2 linked regions of the Lytechinus pictus genome follow. The protein of the gene in region 1 purifies or fractionates together with the protein of each later gene. This does not show direct contact. Links are inferred from orthologs where the notes say so. Each region holds a gene or a part of one and is shown in the gene's direction. Other genes may lie near its edges.

What was found. The genes of interacting proteins can lie anywhere in the genome.
Region 2: the proteins of 26S proteasome complex subunit SEM1-like (region 1) and ubiquitin-protein ligase E3C-like purify together in Homo sapiens (affinity purification with western blotting; 3 studies listed by BioGRID and IntAct, with this or other methods). This does not show direct contact. The link is inferred for Lytechinus pictus from reciprocal best matches to the Homo sapiens genes SEM1 and UBE3C.

The regions. Positions count from the first base shown.
Region 1 is NC_087247.1:71,573,687-71,580,815, reverse strand, and holds the start of 26S proteasome complex subunit SEM1-like, read left to right. Parts: upstream 1-4,118; 5' UTR 4,119-4,164; coding exon 4,165-4,249; intron 4,250-6,168; coding exon 6,169-6,265; intron 6,266-7,129. UniProt on the Homo sapiens protein: Component of the 26S proteasome, a multiprotein complex involved in the ATP-dependent degradation of ubiquitinated proteins.
Region 2 is NC_087255.1:24,586,234-24,594,039, forward strand, and holds the start of ubiquitin-protein ligase E3C-like, read left to right. Parts: upstream 1-4,801; 5' UTR 4,802-4,928; intron 4,929-7,806. UniProt on the Homo sapiens protein: E3 ubiquitin-protein ligase that specifically catalyzes 'Lys-29'- and 'Lys-48'-linked polyubiquitin chains.

The DNA.
Region 1 (7,129 bases):
GGACACATGTTCACTTTCGATCCTTTCATCCAGGCCACTCCCTCACATCCACCAGGTTTACAGTCTTATAACAAAAATGATGAATTAATTAGAATACCATCACACCATAGCTCCATGATCACACAACATTCACACAGTGCTTCACAACAAATATTTCACCTCTGTTCAGACATGCAATAATTACTGTGGAAAACAAAACAAGGCGTAACCACATTCCAATACCGTTTAAAAGGACAAATATATTATAAAACATGGCGAGATCTTTGATTTGAATCATGTGTAGAATTTAAAGTGAACGTGAAATGAGATTTTGGCATTCTGTCACAACTGAAATGCACTTTCGCACCTGGCGATTTTCGCAAATTGATTTTGTCCAGATTTATCAATCCATAACCTGAATTTCAGCCACATCGAGCATCGGCAACGAGTGTATTTCGGCTTCGATCTCGACGCCTTCGTTTAAATTCTCAATTGGACTTTGCCGTAGTTGCGATATGGACTGAAGTTAGCGATCATAATAATGTGAACCTGCCTCGCGAAGGATGGGGCAGTTCGCGCTGCGCCGCCTGTGTGTCCGCGCGGCAGGTTTTCTGTCTTTCGTTCTTTCTATCTTAATTTGCTTTGCTTGCTTCATTTCTTTCATTCCTTCTTTGATTCTTTTGTTCTTTGTTTTTGCCCCATTGCTTTCATACTTTTTTCTTTTTATTTTTATTTAACATTTTTTCCCTTTTTATTTTACATTTTTTCCCTTTGACTCCTTTCACTTTGTTCTTTCTTTCTTCCCTTTTATTTATCCTTTCTTTACCTTTCACTTCTTCTTTTTTTTCTTTCGTCCTTCCTTTTCTTTATTTTCTTTAATCCTTTTTTTTAGTGATAAAGGGGACAAAAAAAAAAATAAATGAAAAAAAATAAACTTGCGTCTTTTTAAAATGTTTTCTTCTTTCTTTACTTTTTGGGACCTATAGAAATAAAAAACAGTAAAAAAAATTAAAAAATAAAAATAAAAGGCGGGGCGATATAATGAATATCAGCTAATGCAATGAAATACGTTGAACAAGTAAATAAAAGGGTTAATGTAAATCCTCCAAAACCAAATACTTTTTAAACTTTGATTTTAATCATGTGTAGAATTTAAAGTGAACGTGAAGTGAGATTTTGGCATTCTGTCACAACTGAAATGCACTTTCGCACCGGGCGAGTTTCGCCAATTAATTTTGGCACAATATAATAATTTTATTCCCAAATGTCTAATCAATCCATAACCTGAACTTCAGCCGATCTCGACGCCTTCGTTTAAATTCTCAGTTGGACTTCGCCGTAGTTGCGATATGGACTAAAGTTAGCGATCATAATAATGTGAACCTGCCTCGCGAAGGATGGGGCAGTTTGCGCCGCGCCGCCTGTGTGTCTGCGCGGCAGGTTCACATCATTATGATCGCTAACTTCAGTCCATATCGCAACTACGGCTTCTTTGTTTTTTCCCCATTACTTTCATACTTTTTTTCTTTTTCTTATTTTACATTTTTTTCCCTTTGACTCCTTTCACTTTGTTCTTTCTTTTTTCCCTTTTATTTATCCTTTCTTTACTTTTTACTTCTTCTTTCTTTTCTTTCGTCCTTCCTTTCCTTTATACTTCCTTATTATTTTCTTTCTTTAATCCTTTTTTTTTTAGTGATAAAGGGGACAAAAAATAAAAAATAAAATAAAAAAATTAACTTGCGCCATTTTAAAATGTTTTCTTTCTTCTTTACTTTTTGGGACCAATAGAAATAAAGAACAGAAAAAAAAATAAAAAGCGGGGTGATAAAATGAATATATGCTAATGCAATGAAATACGTTTGACAAGTAAATAAAAGGGTTAATGTAAATCCTCCAAAACCAAATACTTTTTAAACTTCCCCTTTTATAGTTAAAATGAGGGGCAATATTTTAAACGCTACTTTAACTAAATATCATATTCGTCCAACTTACCTTTAATCAATCATATATTTTTCAAAACAAATTACGACTTCAAATAAAAACCTAACTTTCACATTCCTTTCAAACCACAACCTTCTCTTAAAAAATTCAATTTTAGCTGAAATTTCTTGTCTTCCTATGTATTTTCTTAAGCGCTTAGAGACATTCTTTGTGATAAGCGCTATATAAATGATATTAATTATTATTATTATTATTATTAAAATTCAAATGTTTATTTCTTTCCCATCTTGAATAAACATGTCAATCTACAACAAATTCTTTTAACTTAATCACACCCCAAAACCCGTGGAATTTCCACGGGCTCTGCTAGTTTGTTATGAATACTGATTAAAACAATTGAAGCGAAAAAATCGTGAAAATTGAAAAATATGAAAAAAAATTAAAAACAATAGAAATACATAAGAAATTTATGAAACCATGAAAAACAAGAAAAAAATTGTTGAAATGGCTAATTTCCTTTCCAGTCATATCAAATATGTCTCAATAGAACATTTTAAAAGAAAAAACTCTTTTATTTCCATATATTTTAAATTATTTGAATTTTTGAAATTATGGGGACAATTGTGTACGTTCTCTATGGGGACAAAGTGTCCCATACGTAATATGTCATTAATTTGTTTAATTAGAGTCTGTAATTAGAGGGTTTTGGCTTATGACATGAAACTTGCCCTAGATATACTAGAGTGTTGTGACTTCTATCACACTAAATTACAAGTTGTCAAATGAAATACTTTCAGAGAATTCTCAACTTGAAAAAAATGTTCTAAAAATTGTCTTTTTTCTGCGTCCCATACATAACGGCACATTTTTTCTCTCTGAAAGGTCAGGGTCATACGTCGCCATTTTTGGCATGATTATTCTCCTCCTAGATGTCTACCATCATGAGGGTATTCAATCTAATCAAAGTCATTTAACACTATTTTTCAGGTCATTAAAGCCTCTGAAATGTCCCATACGTAACACGCGCAAATTCTTGGACTTGCCCTGATATAAACTTTTTTTTCAGATTCAGTTGTCCTCAGATCCATCTGGCTCATAAAGGGTAAAGGTTGTGCTTACTAAGTGTTGGAATTTCAATTTGGACGTCAAAATTCTTACAAAATGGTTGAATGTATCCGTTTTATTTCAATTGACTAAAAAGTGCAAGGGAAATGTATGAGAATTGTTTCACAGGGTAAGTTTGATATCGCACTTTCCCCTTGACACAGCGTGAAAACAAGCATTTCTGCGCAAACAGATTTCTGCGAGCTTTACAAAAATGGACAGTGCTCACTCAAGTGTAACATTGGGTGATTTCAAGTTCAGTGTTGACCTTTTGGTGTTGGTGTTGGGTCAATTTTTACACAATTATAACACCAAACATAAAATGAGGATGGTCCCGAAAAGTCACTCACTAGTTGTTGAGATGTCAATAATGTGATCTGGATCAGTTTTACAAACTCTGAATAAGTTTTGGAGCTAGGGGAAGCAATCGAAATTTCAACACTAACACCAACACCAAGGCCAACACCGAACTTGAAATCACCCATTCTGTCAAAACTTTTACTTTCATGGATAGATGAGACCCAAACCCAAAATTATATTTGAAAAAATTACCCACATGTTGTATATTTTTTTATTTATGGCTTTTTCAAAGTGTAAACTTTTTTTTGATACGCACTGTATACCAATAGGTGCGCTGTCATTAAATTTTGGGGACGTAACACAATTGGGGCGAGTTCAAGACACATGGCCCTATGTAATTATCACCTTCAAAATTGGAAAATTCTCAAGGGTGCCAAAGTGGGATCAACCTGATTTTGAATCAGTTTACCCTCAAATATTATTTCTAGCAAAAGAATTGCATTTGTAGTATTTTGTACCTTACTTTATGCTAATGCTGAAATTTTGATGAGTTTTACTGGACTAGTAATGCATACATGTGAGTTCTTTGACTTGCCCTAAAATATTTTGTTCTTGTGATTGAAGATCTATTAGAGGGATCAACTTCAAACTGTGGGTGAGGATTAAGTGATTGGATTTTGTGCGCACAGGGTGAAAGGTTGCAGATGTCATTATTTTAAAAGTTAGATATGTATGTTCTTTATATGACAATGGCAGAGTAGGCAAAAACTTTGACTGCATGTAGTTGAGAATCCAGTTTTATTTTTATTTTTTACATTCATCTAGGTAACAAACTCAAAGATGACAGACAAGGGAGACAAAGACAAGAAAGTGGATCTTGGTCTTCTGGAAGAGGATGATGAATTTGAAGAATTTCCTGCAGAAGGTAAGGAGAGCTCAGAATGTTCAGTTCTATGGATTTGTTTGTCAAGGAAAGTTGAAGAGAGAAATAGAGATTAAAAGGGGAAGAATTTCTTGCTGATCAGGGGCCGCGGAACGGTTTTCAAAGTGGGGGAGGGCTGAGCCAAAAGTGGGGGGGGGGCTGACTATGCAAAAAATCACAATCATATAGTCATTTTTGTCTCACCTGCATAGCAGAGTGAGACTATAGGCGCCGCTTTTCCGACGGCGGCGGCGACGGCGGCGTCAACACCAAATCTTAACCTGAGGTTAAGTTTTTGAAATGACAGCATAACTTAGAAAGTATATGGACCTAGTTCATGAAACTTGGCCATAAGGTTAATCAAGTATTACTGAACATACTGCCTGAGTTTCATGTCACATGACCAAGGTCAAAGGTCATTTAGGGTCAATGAACTTAGACCATGTTGGGGGAATCAACATCAAAATCTTAACCTAAGGTTAAGTTTTTGAAATGTCATCATAACTTAGAAAATATATGGACCTAGTTCATGAAACTTATACATAAGGTTAATCAAGTATCACTGAACATCCTGCATGAGTTTCACATCACATGACCAAGGTCAAAGGTCATTTAGGGTCAATGAACTTTGGCCGAATTGGGGGTATTTGTTGAATTACCATCATAACTTTGAAAGTTTATGGATCTGATTCATGAAACTTGGACATAATAGTAATCAAGTATTACTGAACATCCTGTGCAAGTTTCAGGTCATATGATCAAGGTCAAAGGTCATTTAGGGTCAATGAACTTTGGCCAAATTGGGGTATTTGTTGAATTACAGCCATAAATTTGAAAGTGTGTTGGTCTAGTTCATAAAACTTGGACATAATAATAATCAAGTATCACTGAACATCCTGTGCGAGTTTCAGGTCACATGATCAAGGTCAAAGGTCATGTAAGGTCAAAGAACTTTGGCCACGTTGGGGGTATTTGTTGAATTGCCATCATATCTCTATAAGTGTATTGGTCTAGTTCATAAAACGTGGAAATAAGAGTAACCAAGTATCACTGAACATCTTGTGCGAGTTATAGTAGTTTTCAAAATCAGCACTGCTGCTATATTGAATCGCGTGATGCAGGTGAGACGGCCAGAGGCATTCCACTTGTTACGTTTTTGTACATGGTTTGGAAAAAAGTGGGGGGGGGTTGAAGCCCCCCAGCCCCCCGTTTCCGCGGCCCCTGCTGATGGTTTGGAGACCCCTTGATGTTCAGTTCTATGGTTATTCTTTGTCAAGGAAAGTTGAAGAGATAAAGAGAGATTATAAGGGGAAGTCTATCCTGATGAAATAAAAAACAATTGTTCTTCAAAAAAAGTACATTTCAGTGAAAGCTTTGAGCCATTTGTCTTAAAAGTGAGAATCTGGCAGAGAATATGTAAAAAAAAACATGTAATTACGCAAATATTGATTTGTAACTCAATGATGCAATATAAAAGCTATCATTGTTGTCTTTATAGTTCTATTTCTATAATTCAATATTTGCACTTAAATGTATAATGTTTGCAAGGATCCTGGGCTATTTTATAGTCCATCAAAGGGAATGTTGTTCACATGTGACATCAGACATCTTTGTCGCATTGACAATGGGAGTATCTCCATAGCATTAGTGATAGCAATATTCAAATGCTCATAACTTTCTCATTATTTTGTCTAGAACTCCAATCTTTCTCAAACTTTCTTTGATTTTATTCTTTTATTTTTCTGTTTCCACACAAGCCCACTTGTTCCAAAGGTTTCATTCCCCTTTAATTATTGATAAGATATGTCTGATATACCTGTAGACTGTAAGAAAAAAACAGTTTTAATGTAATGAAGTCACATGGGTATAATTTTAAAGTGATGGGTGCTTGTTATTTCTTACATTATTTTTCTTTCATCTAGAATGGAAACGTGATGAAGAAGATCAATCAGATAACAATGTATGGGAAGACAACTGGGATGATGACAATGTAGAAGATGACTTCTCTAAGCAACTTAGGTAAAACTCTGTTCTCCCAAACAAAGAGCACTATCATTTTACCATTTTGAGGTGTGTAACAGACTGACAGAAATGTGTGTAACAAAATCCAAAGTGTGTGTAAATGGTATCATCTATGCAGGTGTGTGTGTAAGTAGTGGGGTTGGAGATGTGGGGAGCAGCTGAAATATTGTATAATACAGTGCGAGTCAGAAAAATGTTAGACTTTTTTAATTTAGTATTTTTTAAAGAAAATGTGGGATTCAGAGAGAATTTCTAGCATGTATGGATAGAGTAAACATTCCTTTGTTACTTGGTAAAATTTGTTTCAATGTTGTTGTTATGGTTGAGTGCACAACAGCCATTGTTTGAAAAAGTGTCAAAACCCATTTGCACCAAGTCATGTGATTACCTGCTGGAACGGGGACAAAAGCATTTAAACAATGAGAGTAAAGTTTATGTGTATGTTTATTCATCAAAAAAAATAAGCAAGAGAACAGGTAAATCAATATATTATCTTCACTGAAAAAAGCTCCTTTTCATTGTCATTTTGGCCACAACTTGGACAAAGCTTCCTGCCTTCAATCTTCCACATGTTGTCCATTTCTCTTGATGCACTTCTGAGCTCGATGGAGCATTGCTGCCAAGGCCCTGCGAAGTGTCTGCCTGTCTTCGTCTGGGGGTACCTGAAGTCAAAGGTGTACAGCACCCCACCTGCAGATCTGGATGACTTGCAGCAGCGCATCATCAGAGCAACATGTGGAAGATTAAAGGCGGGAAGCTTTGTCCAAGTTGTGGCCAAAATGACAATGAAAAGGAATTTTCTTTCAGTGAAGATAATTTACTGATTTACTGGTTCTCTTGTTTATTTTTCTTGATTAATTA
Region 2 (7,806 bases), on another chromosome or scaffold:
AACCACCTGGAGTCATACTGAGCCTCGAGGAGGAGATGAAGTCAGTGAACATGACCTGGGGTACCGGTAGTTTCCAGAAGAAGGCCCAGCTCAAAACCGCCAGGACTCGGGAGTGGAGATCCGAATACTTCGTTGCTGCCCTCCATATGAGGAGGCTGTAAGTTAGGTAATTCAGATGTCAAGTTTTCTTTTGGGGTCTTTGTGTATCCTCTATTATGAGAATTATGGAAAAGAGATGGTGATTTAATGGTTTTAAAGATGTAAAATATGAAATTCTAGCACTTTTTTTAGGCCTAATATGAGTTCGGACACCCTACTTATAATTTTTTTTTGAGGAGCGCGATATTTTTGTACATGACCCAAGCCTAGTTTCACCACAGGTTAATTAATAGCTACACAGCTGTTGCATTTACAATTTTAATAACAATCTACAACAATTGAGCATTTTATAAAATTGAGTGTGTCTAGGAAAGCAAATTCGGAGGCATAAGGAGAGCCATTTATTGAGCTCCATGGAATTATAAACATGAAGGACTGATCTCTGCGACATCGATTTCAGAAGTATTCCCAAGACCAAGTGAACTTACTCATTTTTTTAATAAATATGATGATGTGCTGTTTATCATTATAGTTGAATCATTGATTCACAATCCCATGTATTTTTCTTAATGTGCAAATGGAATTTTACAACACTCTGTAGTAACCCTTGCCCGCCTTAGGTGTAGACATGTATTGCTATTCACTGTAATATAGACGTATTTTTATTCACTGTTCACTGTACTGATTATTTTTCTCTCCATTGTTTTAAAAAAATTATTCAGATACATCGCATCTACCAGCAAAGAACGTGTGCCAGTACAGGGAAGGAATGTACCTGTCGCACGTGAACTCTTCAGAGGCAGTGAGGACAACAAGATCTGCAAGCAAGTGATCCTTTTTGTAAGAAAATTTCCAATTTGTACATTTCACAATTAATTTTTTTTAAAGCCTTTGTACACATTTAGAGTATCAAGGCTTACAATATGTAAAAATTAAATGTTTGCCCAAAAATCATTATGGGAAAGGTGGATTTCCAAGGAAAAATCAAATCTATCTTTGTTTACACAGTTGTACGAGCAACCTTATAGGAGGCTTGTCTAGGCTCCGTGATGAAAATACAATGTAAAAATTGATTCACAATCCCATGTATTTTTCTTAAAGTGCAAATGGAATTTTACAACACTCTGTAGTAACCCTTGCTCGCCTTAGGTGTAGACATGTATTGCTATTCACTGTAATATATACGTATTTGTTATTCGCTGTTGTTCACTGTACTGATTATTTTTCTCTCCATTGTTTTTGAAAAAAATTCTTCAGATACATCGCATCTACCAGCAAAGAATGTGTGCCAGTAGAGGAAAGGAATGTACCTGTCGCACGTGAACTCTTCAGAGGCAGTGAGGACAAGATCTGCAAGCAAGTGATCCTTTTTGTAAGAAAATTTCCAATTTGTACATTTTACAATTAATTTTTTTTTAAGCCTTTGTACACATTTAGAGTATCAAGGCTTACAAAATGTAAAAAATTAATGTTTGCCCAAAAATCATTATGGGAAAGGTGGATTTCCGAGGGAAATCTATCTTTGTTTACACAGTTGTACGAGCAACCTTATAGGAGGCTTGTCTAGGCTCCGTGATGAAAATACAATGTAAAAATGATAAAATTATCTTCATGGAGTCCTCTAGGCTAGCCAGTGACATGGGCCCAGGCCCATCAATTTTAATTCATGCTTTTGCATAACCAAATGGCGTGAATTTGGAACTGGAAGTATAATTTCAGATTGACCTCCGAAATGAAACGTGCAGGCCTGGAGGCTGAAGTATTTTTTTATCTTTGAAATTAAATTGGTTCTCGTTGTTTTTTACCTCTGACTTACCAGTATGTGTGGGGGTACCGTAGAAGTAGAATTAAAGGGATGGTCCAGGCTGGAAACATATCTCAATAAATAGAGTAAAATTCACAGAGCAAAATGCTGAAAACTTGATCAAAATTTGATAATTAATTAAGGTTTTGAATTTTAAAGATTTGCATTATTCCGGTGAAATAGTTCTAGGCATGTCTTTATGAATATTCATTAGGTTGGCTGATGATGTCATATCCCAATTGCCCTTTTGTATTTTATTATATGAGATTAGGTTTATTAAGATATTTTTAACCAAGAACTATTGACAATTGGATTGACAACTGATTAGGTGCATTAGTTATTGACGCAACTTATTTCATTACAATGGAGACGCATCATTTACACATGTATGAAAAAATCAAACATTTATGATTTCATCTAGTAACATAAAAAAAAGGAAAGTGGAGATGTGACATCAGCCCACCTAATGAATATTCATGACGAAGTGCATACAACTGTTTTCACAAAATATTGATAAACTTTAAAATTCAATAACTTCTTGTTATCCTATTTTGATGAAATTTTCATCATTTTGCTCTGTGAATTTTACTCAAGTATTATTTAGATGTAAATATTTTCGGCCCGGACCATCCCTTTAATCCTCTGATAAAATTTTGTATTTCATTTTTTTTTTTTTGCTTTGTCTTGCGTTTTTAAACATGTTCTGGGAACTGCTTTTTGAAAGTTGTCAGCATTAACAAGTTGTCTTTTTCCGACAGTTACCATAGTAACAGTCAGAGGCCAGTGCTTCTCAGCCAATCAAAAGCAATGATTTCACTGAAATAGTCGGCACTGACAATCATGAAATACCCATCAGATGTTAGCAGATAATGTGCAACATAGACTCCTAGATACATATATGCAAACATACATAGTCTAAGTCTTTATTATTAAAATAAATGTATAGGTATAAGGTCGAGGCAATTTTATCTCTGCGATGTCAATTTCAGAAGTATTCCCAAGACCATGTGAACTTACTATACATGTTGTAATAAAAATGATGTGCTGTCTATCATTATAGTTGAATCATTGATTCATTTATAATTGAATCATTGAAATATGGAACTTAGAGAAGTTTCACTATCCCATGTATTTTCTTTATGTGCAGATATAATTTTACACCACTGAAATTTTGTATTACGGTATTCACTGTACTTATTATTTTTCATTCCATTGGTTTTTTTTTCTAATCTTCAGATACATCGCATCTACCAGCAAAGATCAAGTGCCACTACAGGAAAGGAAGGTACCTGTTTCACGTTTCCTCTTCAGAGCCAGTGAGGGCCCCAAGATCTCAATAAATAATAATTAAAAAAAGACTCCTTTATCATTCCTTTAAAAATAGTACATATTATTTATTGAAGGTAAATGCTTAGATGCATTATATTCAAATTTTGTCTCCAAGCTAGCATGTAAAAATTGGATTGACTACATATTTACTGTGTAAGTTAATGATCTTTGTTGACACATAATACAAGAATTATACACAGCATGTTACAGTTTGTAACATAATTTTCTTTCATTAAATTCCTAGTTTAAATACCATATAGATGTTTTTTGTGACTTTTGTCATTCTCTGATGTTTTTTGGTACAGATTTCAAGAGACTGAGGGATTGATTTACCAGAGCAAGTTTACAGTCCAATCCTGTTATATTGTGCATGTGGAAATTAACAAGGTTTCAATACAATGCTACAAATTTACCTTGATTCATTTCATCAGTCCTATGTGCAAGGATAATTATTTCACTTGTCCATGCACATTGTTATAACAGGAGTGGACATTCAATGTAAAGATTATTGAAGATAATTTATAATTGAAATAACCGCCTGAGAGGGGGGGGGGGTGTGTTGGTACCAATATTATAATGTGTGTGTGCGCAAGGAAAACGAAGGAGTGATTATATGAGAAGAGTAAAAGATCGGGAATGTACATATCCACATGATTCATTTTTGTTTATGCTATACATTGCAGGGTGTTTCTAACTGGTACCACTTGACAATTTATGTTTCCAACTGGTCCTAACTGGTGCTTCCAACTTGTTCTAACTGGCACCAGTTGACAACTGGTGTTTCCAACTGGTTTTAACTGGCACCAGTTGACAACTCATGTTTCCAACTGGTCCTAACTGGCACCAGTTGACAATTGGTGTTTCCAACTGGTTTTAACTGGCACCAGTTGACACCTCATGTTTCCAACTGGTCCTAACTGGCACCAGTTGACAATTTGTGTTTCCAACTGGTTTTAACTGGCACCAGTTGACAACTCATGTTTCCAACTGGTCCTAACTGGCACCAGTTTACAATTGGTGTTTCCAACTGGTTTTAACTGGCACCAGTTGACAACTCATGTTTCCAACTGGTCCTAACTGGTACCAGTTAGGACCAGTTGTCAACTGGTACCAGTTGCTAACTGGTACCAGTTAGGACCAGTTGCCAACTGGTATTTCCAACTGGTACCAGTTACAATTTGTCAACTGGATTCCAGTTGAATCCAGTTGATTCCAGTATTCCAATTTCCATATTGAATCCAGTTCGCTAACTGGAATCAACTGGTACCAGTACCAGTTGGATGAACTGGTCCTTAACTGGTTTTTTGACCTGGGATAATTAAAATGTCTAATTTTTTGCTCGCTCGCTTCGCTTATTCCCAACGTCGTTATTTTAAGTGATAGGCCTACTTAATATTCAGCCCCCTCACAATTGGCTCATTACGCCACTGATTCCATTCATTCTCTTTGGTCTGCAAATCCAAAAGAATTGAAATTGAAAACGAGAACAACAGACTATTTACACCTCCGCCCCCCCCCCCCTCCGATCCGAATATAACCCGGAAGCGGAAGTTAATGCTCCCGCTAGCTGGTCATCAGCTGTCGAATTTCCTACTCATTGACATTGCACAGAGCCAGGAAAAGAATCACGATCCACAAAAGAATTGTATTTAAAGAACTCGTGGGACAGCGAAGTATTTATAGCAGTACATGAAAGGTATTGTACGATTTATTCTGTACTCTGATCGATCGTTAAGAAAAACGTTAAAACTCCAAATTAATGTGTCGGCAAGCGGTCTTTCTTGTCTTGTTTGTTGTGTGTTGTGACTTGGACCGTGGATGAGCAAATGCAATTTTTTATTTTACACCCTGAATGAGTGCGTTCACGATCCCGTGATAAACGTATTCGAATAGCACATGAGTGAAATCGTAGTCGTAAAACATCTGATGTGCTGTGCAAGGACAGGTTTAGTCTTGTGCTCGGGTAACCAGGCGGCTTCTAGAGAGTAAAAATCATTGACTAACGTAATGTCACTCTCATGAAGCCAGGCCTTCTATCCCATAGACCCACACAATGGAAGCCAAAACCTGAAACTTTCACCCCCGAGATTTCTACTTTCCTTCTAAAAGATCTAGGCCTAGCTCTAAATCATGTGCATGGCCACTCAATGTCTGAGGTCCAACATTACATGTATATGTATGGACCTCATAGGCGACATAAGTGATAAAATCGGTTAGACATTGCCGTTTCTATTTGCACACAAGGACTTTGGCAAATGTACGCCTTAATACAAATTGGATGGTAAAAATTTTGGTATAAATTAGTTCTTAACATCTTAAATAATCTATTACAATGGTTAAAAGTTAATGGATTGAGGTTAAACTTACATTTTCAGTCTTTTTTCTTGAATTCTTGGTGAGCGTTCCAAACGCTGTGGGGACTGATTAACTCCGATGTGATTCACGTACTGGTCAGCTGATCGGTCAGGTGATCGGTTGGTTATCTTTTTGTCAGACGTTCATAATTTATATTACAATATATCAATCTTCAGTATCTTGATTTCAAGCATCAGTATTGCAGGGAAAAGTCATTATCGATTGGAATCAGTGGCAGATCGGGGGGGGGGGGGGGGGGGGGTGGTTGAGCATTTCTGGCCCGTTCCACCTTTTGAGATTCATAGTAAATATTTTGGATGTAAAAAAAAATATGTCGTTCGTACAAAATTATGTCCCCCCCCACCTCCTTATGAGAATCACAGCAATATTTGTAATGGGGATATTTTGTTCATATTCTTTGCTCTTTTTTGTCCTTTTCTTTTTTGCTTCTCAAATTTATTTTACTTTGAACAACATGACTTTCTATATTTAATGACAAACTTTTTTAGGGGGGGTGGGGGCTTGCCAAATATAACGCGCGGCAAGATGACCTTCTTTTTTTAGTGACAACTTTTTTTTTATTTGTCAAATTTTACGAGAGACAAAATGACCTTCAATCATTATTAGTTAAACCTTTTTTTTTTTTGGGGGGGGGGGGTAGGGGGCTCGCCAAATAGTGACACACTTTTTTTGTAAAATTTTACGCAAGAAAAAAATGATCTTCAATCATTATCAGTTACCTTTCATTTTTTTTTTTTTTAGGGGGGGGGGCTTGTCAAATTTTACGTGGGACAAATGACCTTCATTTTTTAGTGATTTTTTTTTATACTTGACAAATTATAAGAGGAACAAAATGGCCTTCAATCATTTTTAGTTAAAACCTTTTTTTTTGGGGGGGGGGGTAGGGGGCTCGCCAAATAGTGACACACTTTTTTTGTAAAATTTTACGCAAGAAAAAAATGATCTTCAATCATTATCAGTTACCTTTCATTTTTTTTTTTTTAGGGGGGGGCTTGTCAAATTTTACGTGGGACAAATGACCTTCATTTTTTAGTGATTTTTTTTTATACTTGACAAATTTTAAGAGGAACAAAATGGCCTTCAATCATTTTTAGTTAAAACCTTTTTTTTTTGGGGGGGGGCTTGCCAAATATTTCACAAACAAAATGAACTTCAATTTTAGTGACCATCTTTTTATTACTTTTAAAATTTCACGCAGGACAAAATGACCTTCACTTTTTTTTAATGTTATGTTATATCGAGATTTTTTACCTGACTGCTAAACAAGCACGAATGCCTGTGAGCAAGCAACCAGGGGACCGACGGCTTAAGGTCCTCTCCGAGGGACCTGGTAATGAGGATAAATGCCTTACCAAAGGGCACTAGCGCACCACTTGGTAATCGAACCTGGGTCACCGGAATCCGAAACCCCCGCTCTACCAACTGAGCTATCGCGCCTCCGATATGTTAACCTTGGGGGGGGGGGAGGCTTGCCAAATATTACAAGGACAAAATGACAGTCTTTTATTTTTAGTAACCATCTTTTTTGTTTTACTTGTCAAATCTTACGCGAGACAAAATGACCATTTTTCTGTGATAACCTTTTTTGGGGGGGTTGTCAAATTTTACTTGAGAAAATGCACCCCCCTACTTTGGAAAATCGAAGATTAAGATCATGAGTATAGCCTACATCTCAGAGGCGTAAACAGATGGGGGCATGGCTGGCCATCCCCCGAGTGGATTTCACCTGAAAAAAAAACATGATAAGAGCAAAGGAAGGAAGAAAGAAAGAAAGAAAAAATGAAAGAAAGAAAGAACGAAAGGAAATGTAAAATGGAAGGAAAGTCATGTGAGAACAAATAATCCGGGGGGGGGGGGATCTACTCAGATAATAAAAAAATCTGCCATCTGTAATTAAATTGGATTAGTTAATATCCAGAGGTCCCAGTGCTACCAACATGCATGTAGTGCGGGCAGTGGCGTACCTAGGATTTTCCACAGGGGGCAAAATCGACCGCCAAAAAATTTGACAAGCAAAAAAAAAAAAAAAAAAAAAAAGGTCTTCAAGCTCGTCAGGGGGGGCAGAGATACGTAATTTGCATGGGTTTGTGACTCATCGGGGGGGGGGGGGGGGGGGGGGGGCAGACTGCCCCCCCTAGGTACGCTAGTGCTCGGGACTTACATTAGTATGTAACTATTATCTTCCACTCTCTTATATA